Coturnix japonica: one gene and its partners. The protein of the gene in region 3 interacts with the protein of the main gene of each other region in a biochemical or structural test. Links are inferred from orthologs where the notes say so. Each region holds a gene or a part of one and is shown on either strand. Other genes may lie near its edges. The genes, in order: ABCC2, TBC1D10A and SLC9A3R1.

Region 1 (4,239 bases), on a different chromosome or scaffold from region 3:
AGGCCAACTGGCCCCCAGAAACAGCATCCAAATAAGGGCAGTCCCAACAGGGCAGTTGCAGAACTCTGTGCCCTGTCTCAGCTTCTTCTCACCACCCCTCTTTCCTTCTCCCTTCCCTCCTCCCAGATGTCCATAAGGGGAGAAATTAGTCCTGGTTTTCTCACACTTCCTCAAAGGGAGAGGGTGAATTTAAAAGGCTATTTCTCTTCCAGTTCCCATAGGGCAGCTGGGACCTCAGTAATGCCACTGAGAGCTTGTTCAGGGGCTGAGGTCCATAAGGGACTTGATGACCCTTATGGGATAATACCTTGGGGTATTCTACGATTCTGTTACTTTCTCTGGGGACAGAACAGTGCCATGGGGAAATATACAGTTTCTTGCCAAACCCAACCTGCAGTGCTCTCCGGACAAGGGACTGGAATGGCAGGATCCCACAGAGCAGGGACAGGATCCAGAAGCAGAACAGTACCACCGAATCTCTGCACAAGCAGAAGTGCCGTGCATAGTGGATCAGCAGGACCAGGACCTGTGAGAAGGAACATCACTGAGGTTTGGTCAGGGCAGCAGGACCAGATCAGCCTTTCAAACACACCCTTGGGGTATGTGTCCCCAGGCACTGGCACGCATGGTCTTTGCAAGTCCTACAGGAGCTTCAGAGTTCATTGCACAGGGCAAAGGTTTACTTCAGGGAGACATCATATCAAAATACTCATAGGAAAAACAAGGTCTGAGGGCACCCCGGCATTATGCTTTAGCTGCTCTCACCCCAGGTTCTTGGCCATGCTGTAAAGAGCGGGCATAAAGCAGTGCCCTGGCTCCTGAACATCAACTGCGTGCCTGGCATTACACAGGTCAGAGACCCATGGTTAACAGTATCTCCTAAACTTTGCACATGAATCCAACTGATAAAATAGCAATCATTAGCTAATTGTTGTGTTTGCATGTAAGTGTAGCTTCTAAGTTTTATGGATTTATTATACTGTTAGATTGGTGGGTAACTTCCACAAGATATCTACTACTCCTGCGCACGTGTTCCACTGCGCACATAGTTCCTGTGCCCTCAGTTCCCCAGAGGACCAGTCTCACATATCTTCATTCACAAATCCAATCTCTAATCACGAATCTCCTCTGCCTCAGAATTCTACGGCACTTCTCAATTCTTCCTTCCCACAGAATCCCCGCAGGTTCTCAGAGCTGCCCCATCCCCATCTCCCAGGCTGCTCCCCTGCAGATGCAGCCTCCTTCCATCCCCATGCTACTGAAGCTTTCTGCTGCCCTGCCATCTCATGCCATCTCTTTGGTGACACTCAGCACACTGTCCCGCTGACCCTTACCCATGTGACGATGTACAGGCTGGGGTTGGTGTACATGACAGCTGGCAGGGGGTTCTGCCCTGTGCCCTCTGTAATTGTCAAGACCAACTCTGCCACAGCTGTCATCAACAGCAATGTAGCCAGCACCTGTGTGGAGAGAAGGGCAGTTGTAAGGAGAGACCCAGCCCACCACATGCACTGGAAACCAGTAGGAGACAAAAAGACTGGATATAAAAGCATTAAGCCCTGTAGATCACTGCACCTTTTCCAACCCAAACCTGGTGCAAAGATCTTTCTTATGCCCTTTCATGGGAGCACTGTCATCATTTTAACCTTGAGGCACACAATAACATAATATCAGAGGCTGCAATGCACACCTAAGACCTCCCTCCTGGAGCATCCCAGCCCTATGCTGTCCTCTGTCCTAGGTATGTGTCATCACAGACTGCCTTCTGGGTGTTCCATCAGTGTTTCTTTGCTCCTACACTTCTCATCTGTTCATTCTTCACCCCACTCCAGCTTAGAAGCTTTCTACTCACCACTGCTCACCCGGGCTGCACCTGCTGCCCTCTGTGCTCCCTCAGCCCCACTCTACCTGTTTGATGATGTAGAGTTTGGTCAGAGATGATTTCTTGGATTTAGATTTGCAAATGGGAAGGAGCTGCCATGGAGCCAAAACCCAGAGGAAGCCGAGGGGGATCCAGACCAGCACTGTCTGCTGGAAGCACACCGGCAGGTCGGCATCTGGGCGAGCAAGGTAGGAGTCATTCTGGAGACAAGAATGGACAGTCAGGTCATAGAACCACAGAATCATAGAATATCCAGTGTTGGAAGGGATCTATAGACCAACCCCTGGCTCTGCAAAAGGGCCACCCAACAATCAGACCCTACATCTGAGAACACTGTCCAGGTGTTTCCCAAACCCTGTCAGCCTGGGGCTGTGACCACTGCCTGGTGAACCTGCTCCGTGCCCACTGCTCTCTGCAGAAGAACCTTTTCCCAGCACCGAACCTGATCCTCCCCTGAAGTCACTCAGGATCGCTCAGCCATCACCTGACTCACAGCACCAGCACTCTTATAGCTTCTATCCCTCCTGTTTCCACCCCACTCAGCACCCACCATCCTGACTTACTGCCCACCAAGCTCCCTACCCCAATGGGGCCAACACAGCCACTCACCCAGAAGACGGAGCCACAGAACTCCTCCAGAGATGCTGGCATGCCTGGGGCGGGCAGAGCCAGCAGCTCCTTCTCTCGTTCTGCTCAGTTGTGAGAGTCCTGGGTAGATGCTTGGAATAAAAGTCCCTACACACCCTTGGTCGGTGTCAGGATCAAATCCTGATGGCACACAGTTAATTGTTAACTTGGTGTGGTTGTGTAACTCTGAAAGCAAACCAGTGATCAAAAGGGCCTTGGAAAACCACATGAGTTCCAGGGAAGGCAAGAGAGGGAGGCTCAGAGGAGAGATGGAAGGGAAACTGCTGTCACAGACTCACTGCACCATAGAGCCATTGCTTGAAAATCACAGCCTTTATCAGTGTATACTGAGAAAGGTATATGGTCCCACAAGACAACCTGTGTTGGTGTGGTACATCTTTCCTCTGCTGGAACCACTCCAGCAACCCCCAGTACCCCAGTGACAGCCAGAGAGCCACACCTGGAGGGAGACTGGCCCTAAACCACCATCCTGCTACTCTGGGAAGTGGGGGCTGTAGGGGATGGGTCTATCCTAAAACAAATAGAATTTGCTTCATCTCACAGGATTTCAAGAAGCATTAGGTAAAAGGGCAGGGTGCACAGAGCAGAAGAAAACTGCTGTTTCATTGTTCAGTGTTTGTAGCTCAGGAGTCAAGGGTGATACAATGACTAATTGCTCAGGAATAAGCCCCTTGCCATCAATTGCAGAGGAAGGTCCAACGTCTAACCTGCTGGTTAATTATTATTACTTTGTCTGATTAAGTCCACTTCCCTTTTGGTAAACAGCTGTCCATAGTGCCAGGCTCTCCAGCCAGCATCAATACAGTACTGAGGAGAGCAGCAATCTGATGCATTAGACAAGAGATCACTGAGAGGAGCAGCCACTCCCTCAGATTCTTGTCGGTCCAGAGTGCTGATGTAATTTGTGAGGCTGAACACGTTCCTGTCCTCAACTTTTGGTCCACACCGTGTTGTTTCCCATCACCCAACCAAGCTGCACAGATCTTCATACATATTGTACCTCGGCTATGCCTAAACCCTACCTTTAATTTCCTGCTTATTTTTGTACAGTAGATGAGATCCAGTCTTACCAGTTCATCTTCACATACACGACCCTTTAAAGGTGCCCTTGTCCCTACCACATTTCACACTGTCCACTGGCCTTGCTTATAAGGCTCATAAGGGGACCTCTTGCCCCAGTTACAGCTTCCTATCCCCCCCATATTCTGTCCCCTCACTTGCCTTGGTTTTCAATGCATATCATAGAGCCCATCCTCTCCCAGTCTTTGCTCTCTCGTTCAGAGCTGAACAGCTTTCCTCAGCCCAGAATGTTTAAAACAAGCACATCCACTCTTCCTCCACCCTCAGTCTTGCAACATACTCATCCTCCTGAAAACCCTTAAAAGTCACCTTCGTATCCTTCAGCTCCTTCCACACAGCTTCTTCCACTACAATATCCAGAACCTATTTGCTGGGACCAAGCTAACTGAAGTTCCCACTCATGCCCCCACAGGGTCTGCTCCAGGACAGAGACTTCTGCAAGGCAATGTACAGATTAGTCCAGACCTCCTAATCTCTAAGAAGTTTATTTCTTTGCTTTCTTATGGTGCCTTTGAGTTCAAAAGCCTTTTTAAAACAATCAAAACTTTACACAAAAGAACCGAACTACATATACGATGACGGAAGGCTGCGTCAGCACAATATTCATGTTAACTGAGTTACAGATATCT
Region 2 (4,238 bases), on a different chromosome or scaffold from region 3:
CCTGCTCCTCCCGTGCGGTGCTTTCCTCGATGGCTGTGCTGTGTGCTGATGACATTCCCAGCCTCCAGCAGTGCCAAGCCCCGTTTATGAGCCTGGCAGGGCTGTGCTCAGGCAGGAAAACCCGCCGCAGGCTTCAGTGCTGCTGGAGAGCTGGAAATAGCTCACGTGGAGCCCTGCCAGCAGGCAGCCAATCTACATAGCGCAGATAAACGTTGTAGCAGACTGTCCGTGTGTATCTTTGCCTACAAAACAACTGCTATCACAGACCGCCACTTCGGGGGGAAGGACCTGCAGCACAGCGTGCCACAAGAGTCTGGAAAGGGGCTGATGTGCTGAGCTCAGGCCTGGGCTCTTTGGTGGTTTGTGAAGGGTCCTCATTAACAAAGCTTTGCTTGTTTAATTTCCTTTTTTTCTTGTTGTTAGGAGGAAATCAAGCCCTGGTTGGAGGCACTCAGTGCTGCTCTGGCTCACGGTGAGATCACAGAATCACCAAGGTTGGAAAAGACCTAAAAGACCATCCAGTCCAACCATCCACCTAATACCAATAGCTCCCACTGCGCTGTGCTGTGAAGCTGGGGGGCTGCAGGTGTGGCCCAACACGAGCTGGGGCAGCTCTGCAGTATCACCCAGCGCTGGGCCGGGCCCTGCCGCACCCTTTGGGCTTTATATTGAGCACGGCCAGTTCTACCTGCTGCTGTGCTGTGGGAGTGCCCTCAGTACAGGGTAGCACTGCGGTGCTGCTGGGCTCACTATGGGCCTGGTGCAGCCCTGGGCCCAGCACTGTCCCGGTGCCTGCAGGTCCCCCTCAGCCCCTGCTCAATCTCAGCGCTCCCAGTTTAGTTCCAGTGCTCCCAGTTCATTCACAGAATCACAGAATGATCAAGGTTGGAAAAGACCTAGAAGATCATCCAGTCCAACCATCACCAATACTTCCCAGTTAAATCATATCCCTCAACACAACAACACATAGGACCCCATAAAGACCACATAGGACCCCGGGATCCAGTTCCCCCCCAGTCCTGTCCCAGTGCCTCCTGTCACATCCTCACAGCTCCCAGTTCCACCCCAGTCAGCTCTCGGTGCCCATCTCAGCACAGCCCCCATCCCTGTTCACCATCACCATCCCATCCCTGTTCACCATCACTATACCCCATCCCTGTACCCCATCCCTGTACCCCATCCCCTCCCTGTACCCCATCCCTGTACCCCAGCCCCTCACCCCGCCCTTCTGCCACTACCGGGCCCGGCGGAGGCAGTGGACGCCCTGATTGACAGCTCCCCCTTTCCCCTCGCCCAATCCCTTCTCCCGTAGGGCGGGCATTCGCGTCCCTCCTTCCCTCCGATTGGTCGAGCCTCTTCTCCCGCCTCCACCCCTTCTCCTCAGCCAATAGCGAGGCGGCGTCGGGGCGTGGCGGTTGGCGAGGGGCGTGTCCGCCGCCGTGTCCGCGGCATGGAGGAGCGGCCGCCGAGCCGCTGAGCCGCCATGGCCAAGAGCCGCGGGGGCGGCGGGCCCGGCTCGCCCGGCAGCGCTCGGGGCCTGGCGGGGACACGGGAGAGCCTGGCTGAGGCGGGAGGAGACGAGCTGAGCTCGCTGGGATCCGACTCGGAGGTGAACGGCGGCCCCGAGGAGCGACGGGTCGATAAGTTCGGCTTCATCGTGGGCAGCCGCAGCGCCGAGGGAGCGTGAGTGGGGCCGGGGGGGGTCGGGGCTGAGTGAGGGGGGCGGGATCCGCTCATAGAGCACACGGTTACACCGCGCATACAGCCGGCAGCCGCCCCGTTCTCCTCCCGCTGCCGCCGCTCGGCCCAGGCCTCCATCCTCCTTCCGCCCGCCGTGCTCTGCGGGGACCCGCTGCTCCCGGCCCGTTGGTCGTGGCGGCCCGGCCCGGTTGGCTCCGGCCGTTGTGCGGCTGTCATTAGCGGGACACCGGCCGTATCCGTCCATCCCCCGCCGCTCCGAGCGCTGCCGTGGGGCGGCATCCAGCCGGTCTGGGCCGCAGTGCTGCTCTATTGCACACACACGGAGCGGCCCGGCCATAACTACACCGCTTAGAGCTGTCATCATCCCCCGTGGCACCCGACACACCGCTGCTAACGGCCCCCAGCCGGCAATGAGCCAGCCCGGCATCCAGCATCCAGCATCCATCCGTCCCGCTTCACACGCCTCATTGAGCCCCGCACTCCCCGTCCCCATCTGCTGGTCGCTGTTTTGAGGCTGCCCTTGGAGCTCAGGCTGCTCTAAACGATTGTGTTTGGCCCCGTCTGACCCTGGGTGGGGCCTCACGGGGCGTCACTGCGATGGGGCTGCACATGGATGTGGCACCAGGCACAGCACATAGGGGCAAGCTGACCCCATAGAGGGGCTGTGCCAGCACAGAAACACGGGCAGGCAGCACCAAAGGGACGGGTGGCCTCTGGGGTGATGGGTACAGGGTTTGCAGTCCCACTGATGTCCCTTTGCTCCACAGATTGGAGGAGGTTCCCTTGGAGGTGCTGCGGCAGCGTGAGTCCAAGTGGCTGGACATGCTCAACAACTGGGACAAGTGGATGGCCAAAAAACACAAGAAGGTGAGTGCCCACCTGCTGTCTCCATGCAGCAGATAGGGACAGCTGCGTGTAGCAGCATCACAGGGGGACTTCAGTGCAGCCCAGACATCAGCTGGTCCCTACAATTGTGTTGTCCTTGAGTGATGCTGTTGGCTCAGGTGGGCTGTTCCCCTTCCAGCCCGGCTGCTGCTGCTGCTCACGGCTGCTCCCTGCTGGGCTGCAGCTTCCCAGAGCTGGCTTGGCTGCCTGTGAGCAGCCATGGGAATTGTTAGGTCATGGAAACTTCTGCTCTGAGCATCTTGCAGACTGCAAACAAAACAAAACGAAAAGCTGTGGGTAGGAAATGGTGGAGGCTGATGTGCAGGATGCAGCCTGCAAGCTGGGGTTTGGCAGGAGGCTCAGCCCATGCAGGACTGCTTTGGTGCTTCCCAACATCCTGAGGGTGTGAATGGAGCAGGGATGGGACGCAGCGAGCCCCAGGGTGCTGCCTTGTCACTGACAGAGGTGGGGAGGGCTGGGGGTGGCATAACCCTGATGTGCCATGTCCCCTCTTGGTGCTGTTTGTGGCATTGCTCGGTGCCTGGTGACCCACAGAGGAGTCCTTCATCTGCTTCTTGTTGCTTCAAAAGGGTCGCTGGGAGCTTTTGGGGATGCTGCAGGTGGGTGCTTTGTTTCCGCCGGTGCTGTGTGCTGCTCTCTGTGTGCTTTCCAGGCTCTGCTGAGTGCCTCGGCAGCCATCCTGCTGGCAGGCAGCTCCCTCGTGCTCAGGCTGAGCTCCAGGAGGTCCCCATGGAGCTCCATGCGCTCAGTCCTTCAGCAGAATCAGAGCCTGGAGCCTCAGGGGGCTGCTCCAGAGAGCTGCTCTGTGCCCAGGCCCTGCAGCCGAGTGGCTCATTCGCACCTGCACTTCTCCACTGTGCTGAAATGGAGCTGTCCTGGCTCACATCCCACCAAGCTGAGCAATGCCAGCTCTGCCTGCTGCTCCCTGCCCTTTCCAGCCGGCCCGTGGGAGTGCAGACACATGGGCAGCTCCGGCGACACTTTGCTTGCGGCCTCCCCCAGCCTGTGTGAATTCCTGGTCTCCCAAAGGGCACACGGGGGTGATGGCAGGACAAAGTTTGGAGCCGGGGTGGCCCATAGGGCTCAGCCTGCCCCAGCTGCATGGCTCAACCAAGCCTGAGCTCCCAGCAAGGCGGCTTCCTTCCTGGCTGCTTAGCCAGCAGGAAGGGGAGTGAAGAGGGAGCTGTCAGCGGCCGAGCTGCCCGTGGCTGCCTTGGGCATTGCCCACAGCATTTCCTGTAAGCTCAAAACCCTCACGGGGCCCAATAGGGTAAACACAGCAGTGCTGCGGTGAGGGTGCAGCAAGGAGTGTGGCGTCAGCACCGTGCTGGGAACACAAGTGCTTGCTTCTGAGTTACGCTGGCAAACAGGGAGAGCAAGCTCTGGGCAGGCAGGCGGTGCCCAGGGCTGCAGAGCCTCAGGGTGCTGTTGGCTGCAGCATGCAGAGCCCTGGCACTGCTCAGGCACAGGGTGTGTGCCACCCTGTGTGTGAGGAAGTGAAGTGAGGTGACTGTGTTGGAATTACTCAGGGCTTTGTGCTCAGTGTCCATCTCATGGGACCACAGGGAGCTCATGGCACTGCTTCACCAGTGGAGCTGGACAGGAGCAGGAAGGGACACAGCCTGGCTTCA
Region 3 (2,366 bases):
GTACGTCCTGCCGTAACCTTTGGTCCCCAGCTGGGCGTTGGTGAGCCTTGACCCCACGGTGTTGTGCAACGGGGACGGGGCTGATAGCAGCTGTGGGGCTGTCACACAGGCTGTTCTCATTGCGTGGCTGCTCCAATGTGTCACCCTCGGCAGCGCCCTGTGTCTGTCCTTGGTGCCAGCCCAGGATCATTGCTGGCCAAGGGAGTTTCGTGGTGTGATGTGGGTGTGCTGTGGGTAAGGAGCAGCGCAGGGCACGCACGAGGGGAATTCCTGCCTGTCCCCAGGGATGGTTTGGGTACCAAAGTAGGACAGACGAAGGGAAGGATAAGTGATGAAACCCCGTGGTGAGGGATATTTTAGGAACTCCAGTGTGACTTTTGTCACTGGGAAATCCCTACCGCTGATCGGGGGCTAACGATCAAGACAGTATCACTATGCATGTATTATGTGAGTAGGATGAGAGGTGATGGTTTTACACTGTGCCGGGGACTCAGGTTGGGCATCAGGAACCATTTCTTCACCCAGGGGCTCACAGTGGAGCAGGGGAGCCCTCTGGGGGTGCTCAGCTCCGTGGAGATGTGGCACTGAGGGATGTGGTCACTGGGGAGGGGTTGGATTGATGATCTTAGTGGTCTTTTCCAACCTTAATGATCCCATGAATCTACAACTATGAACAGTTGGACACTGAGTCAGGCTGGGGTGGTGCCACCAGGAGGTGAACGCCCCACGTGCTGCTGCCCTGCTCCTGCAGGTCCTGGTTTGCTGCAGCCATAGGTTGGGCTGCTCAGTGTGGGTGCTGCTCTGTGAGTACCTGGGGTCCCTTTGGTGCCACCCCCAGATGGGGGATGATGTGGTCTTTGTGTCTGCAGGAGGTGGGACCTGTTGGCATAGGGTGAAGGTGGGTGCCTGCCCTCCATCCAGGCTGCTTCCTCCTCTGCCTTCACTGGGCAATCTTAATCCCAAAAGGAAGAGCCCGATCTGAGGATGTGTGTAATAACAGGCTTCCGTAATGGAACACCATAGTTACCATGTTCTGCACCTAACCAGGCAGGGCTGGGGCTCACGGTCTGTTCTGGTCTCCATGCCCAGCTGGAGGTGCCCACAATTGTGAATTTCATGGGTCTGCAGCCCTGTGCCATAGCAGGGTGAGGGCTGAGAGCCGCCATCTCACAGCCATCCCTTCACTGTCCCCTCGCAGGAGCTGCGTCCCCGGCTGTGCCACATCAAGAAGGGCCCCAACGGGTACGGCTTCAACCTGCACAGTGAGAAGAGCCGCCCTGGGCAGTATGTTCGTGCTGTGGACCCCGACTCACCGGCTGAGGCGGCGGGGCTGCGAGCCCAGGACCGCATTGTTGAGGTGGGTGATGGGGTCAATGGGAGGCCAGCAGCATGGTGTGTCCCTGAGATACGGGATGGGCGGGCAGCGCCCAGGAGCTGCTCCTCTGGGGCACCCCCTGCCCTGAGTGCTGGCGGTGACTCAGAGCAGAGCCATCCCACCCCTGGGTGCAGCCGTGCTGCTCATCAACCTGTCACCCCGTGCAGCACCGCTGTCCTGGGATGGGAGGGCACAGACGTGAGGGTGTGTGGTGGCTGTGTGGGTCCAGGGCTGCCCGTGCTCGCCGTGCTGGGGTCAGCCGCCCTGTGCCGTCATCTCCTGGCACTGCCCCGCTCCCCGTGCAGCCCTGTGCTAATCGCTCTGAGAAAATCTGCTTTTAATGAGGTTGTGCTGCTAATCCCTGCACGTCTCCGGGCATCCGCGGGGGGCTGAGGAATGTCCGTTATCTCCGTGACACCCACAGGTGAATGGGACGCCCGTGGAGGGCAAACAGCACGCGGATGTGGTGGCGGCCATCAAGGCGGGCGGCGATGAGACCAAGCTGCTGGTGGTGGGCGTGCTGGCTGATGAGTTCTTCAAGAAGTGCAGGGTGGTGCCCTCGGAGATGCACCTGGCAGGTGGGTCCGGTGCCAGGCATGGGGATCCCATTGTGCTGGGATGGGGGTTGGTCGGCGCCTTCCTGCCCGGCCCACAGCTGGCACGTGGCTGTGGGGTGTGTGCTGGGCAGGGTTTATTGCCCTGTGGTTTACACTTTGACAGGGCTTATGGCTCAGGGAGCGAACGGAGGGTGTGTGGTTGTCCTTCACTTTGCTCCAGCCTCGGCTCAGCCTTGGCCCCCTCCCTGCCCTGATGGTGGCAGGATGCAGCCCACGTTGGCTGCCCCGGAGCTGTTGTGCCCACGGGCACCGATGGTCACAGCCCTGGTGTGTGCCTGTCCCCACCTGACGCCGTGTCCTCTCTGCAGGTCCCTTGCCTGAGCCCATTGCCAATGGTGATATAGAGAAGGTGAGATAAATTCCTTTTTGTCCTT

Evidence for each region.
Region 1: the proteins of SLC9A3R1 (region 3) and ABCC2 form a complex in vitro, tested with the Homo sapiens proteins (2 studies listed by BioGRID). The link is inferred for Coturnix japonica from reciprocal best matches to the Homo sapiens genes NHERF1 and ABCC2.
Region 2: the proteins of SLC9A3R1 (region 3) and TBC1D10A form a complex in vitro, tested with the Homo sapiens proteins (2 studies listed by BioGRID and IntAct). The link is inferred for Coturnix japonica from reciprocal best matches to the Homo sapiens genes NHERF1 and TBC1D10A.

Annotation. Positions count from the first base shown.
Region 1 is NC_029521.1:19,253,724-19,257,962, forward strand, and holds the start of ABCC2 (canalicular multispecific organic anion transporter 1), read right to left. Parts: upstream 2,833-4,239; 5' UTR 2,534-2,832; coding exon 2,492-2,533; intron 2,083-2,491; coding exon 1,909-2,082; intron 1,461-1,908; coding exon 1,335-1,460; intron 527-1,334; coding exon 392-526; intron 1-391. UniProt on the Homo sapiens protein: ATP-dependent transporter of the ATP-binding cassette (ABC) family that binds and hydrolyzes ATP to enable active transport of various substrates including many drugs, toxicants and endogenous compound across cell membranes.
Region 2 is NC_029530.1:9,671,478-9,675,715, forward strand, and holds the start of TBC1D10A (TBC1 domain family member 10A), read left to right. Parts: upstream 1-1,406; 5' UTR 1,407-1,483; coding exon 1,484-1,683; intron 1,684-2,468; coding exon 2,469-2,568; intron 2,569-4,238.
Region 3 is NC_029533.1:9,149,673-9,152,038, forward strand, and holds part of SLC9A3R1 (Na(+)/H(+) exchange regulatory cofactor NHE-RF1), read left to right. Parts: intron 1-1,198; coding exon 1,199-1,357; intron 1,358-1,799; coding exon 1,800-1,953; intron 1,954-2,300; coding exon 2,301-2,341; intron 2,342-2,366. UniProt on the Homo sapiens protein: Scaffold protein that connects plasma membrane proteins with members of the ezrin/moesin/radixin family and thereby helps to link them to the actin cytoskeleton and to regulate their surface expression. Necessary for recycling of internalized ADRB2.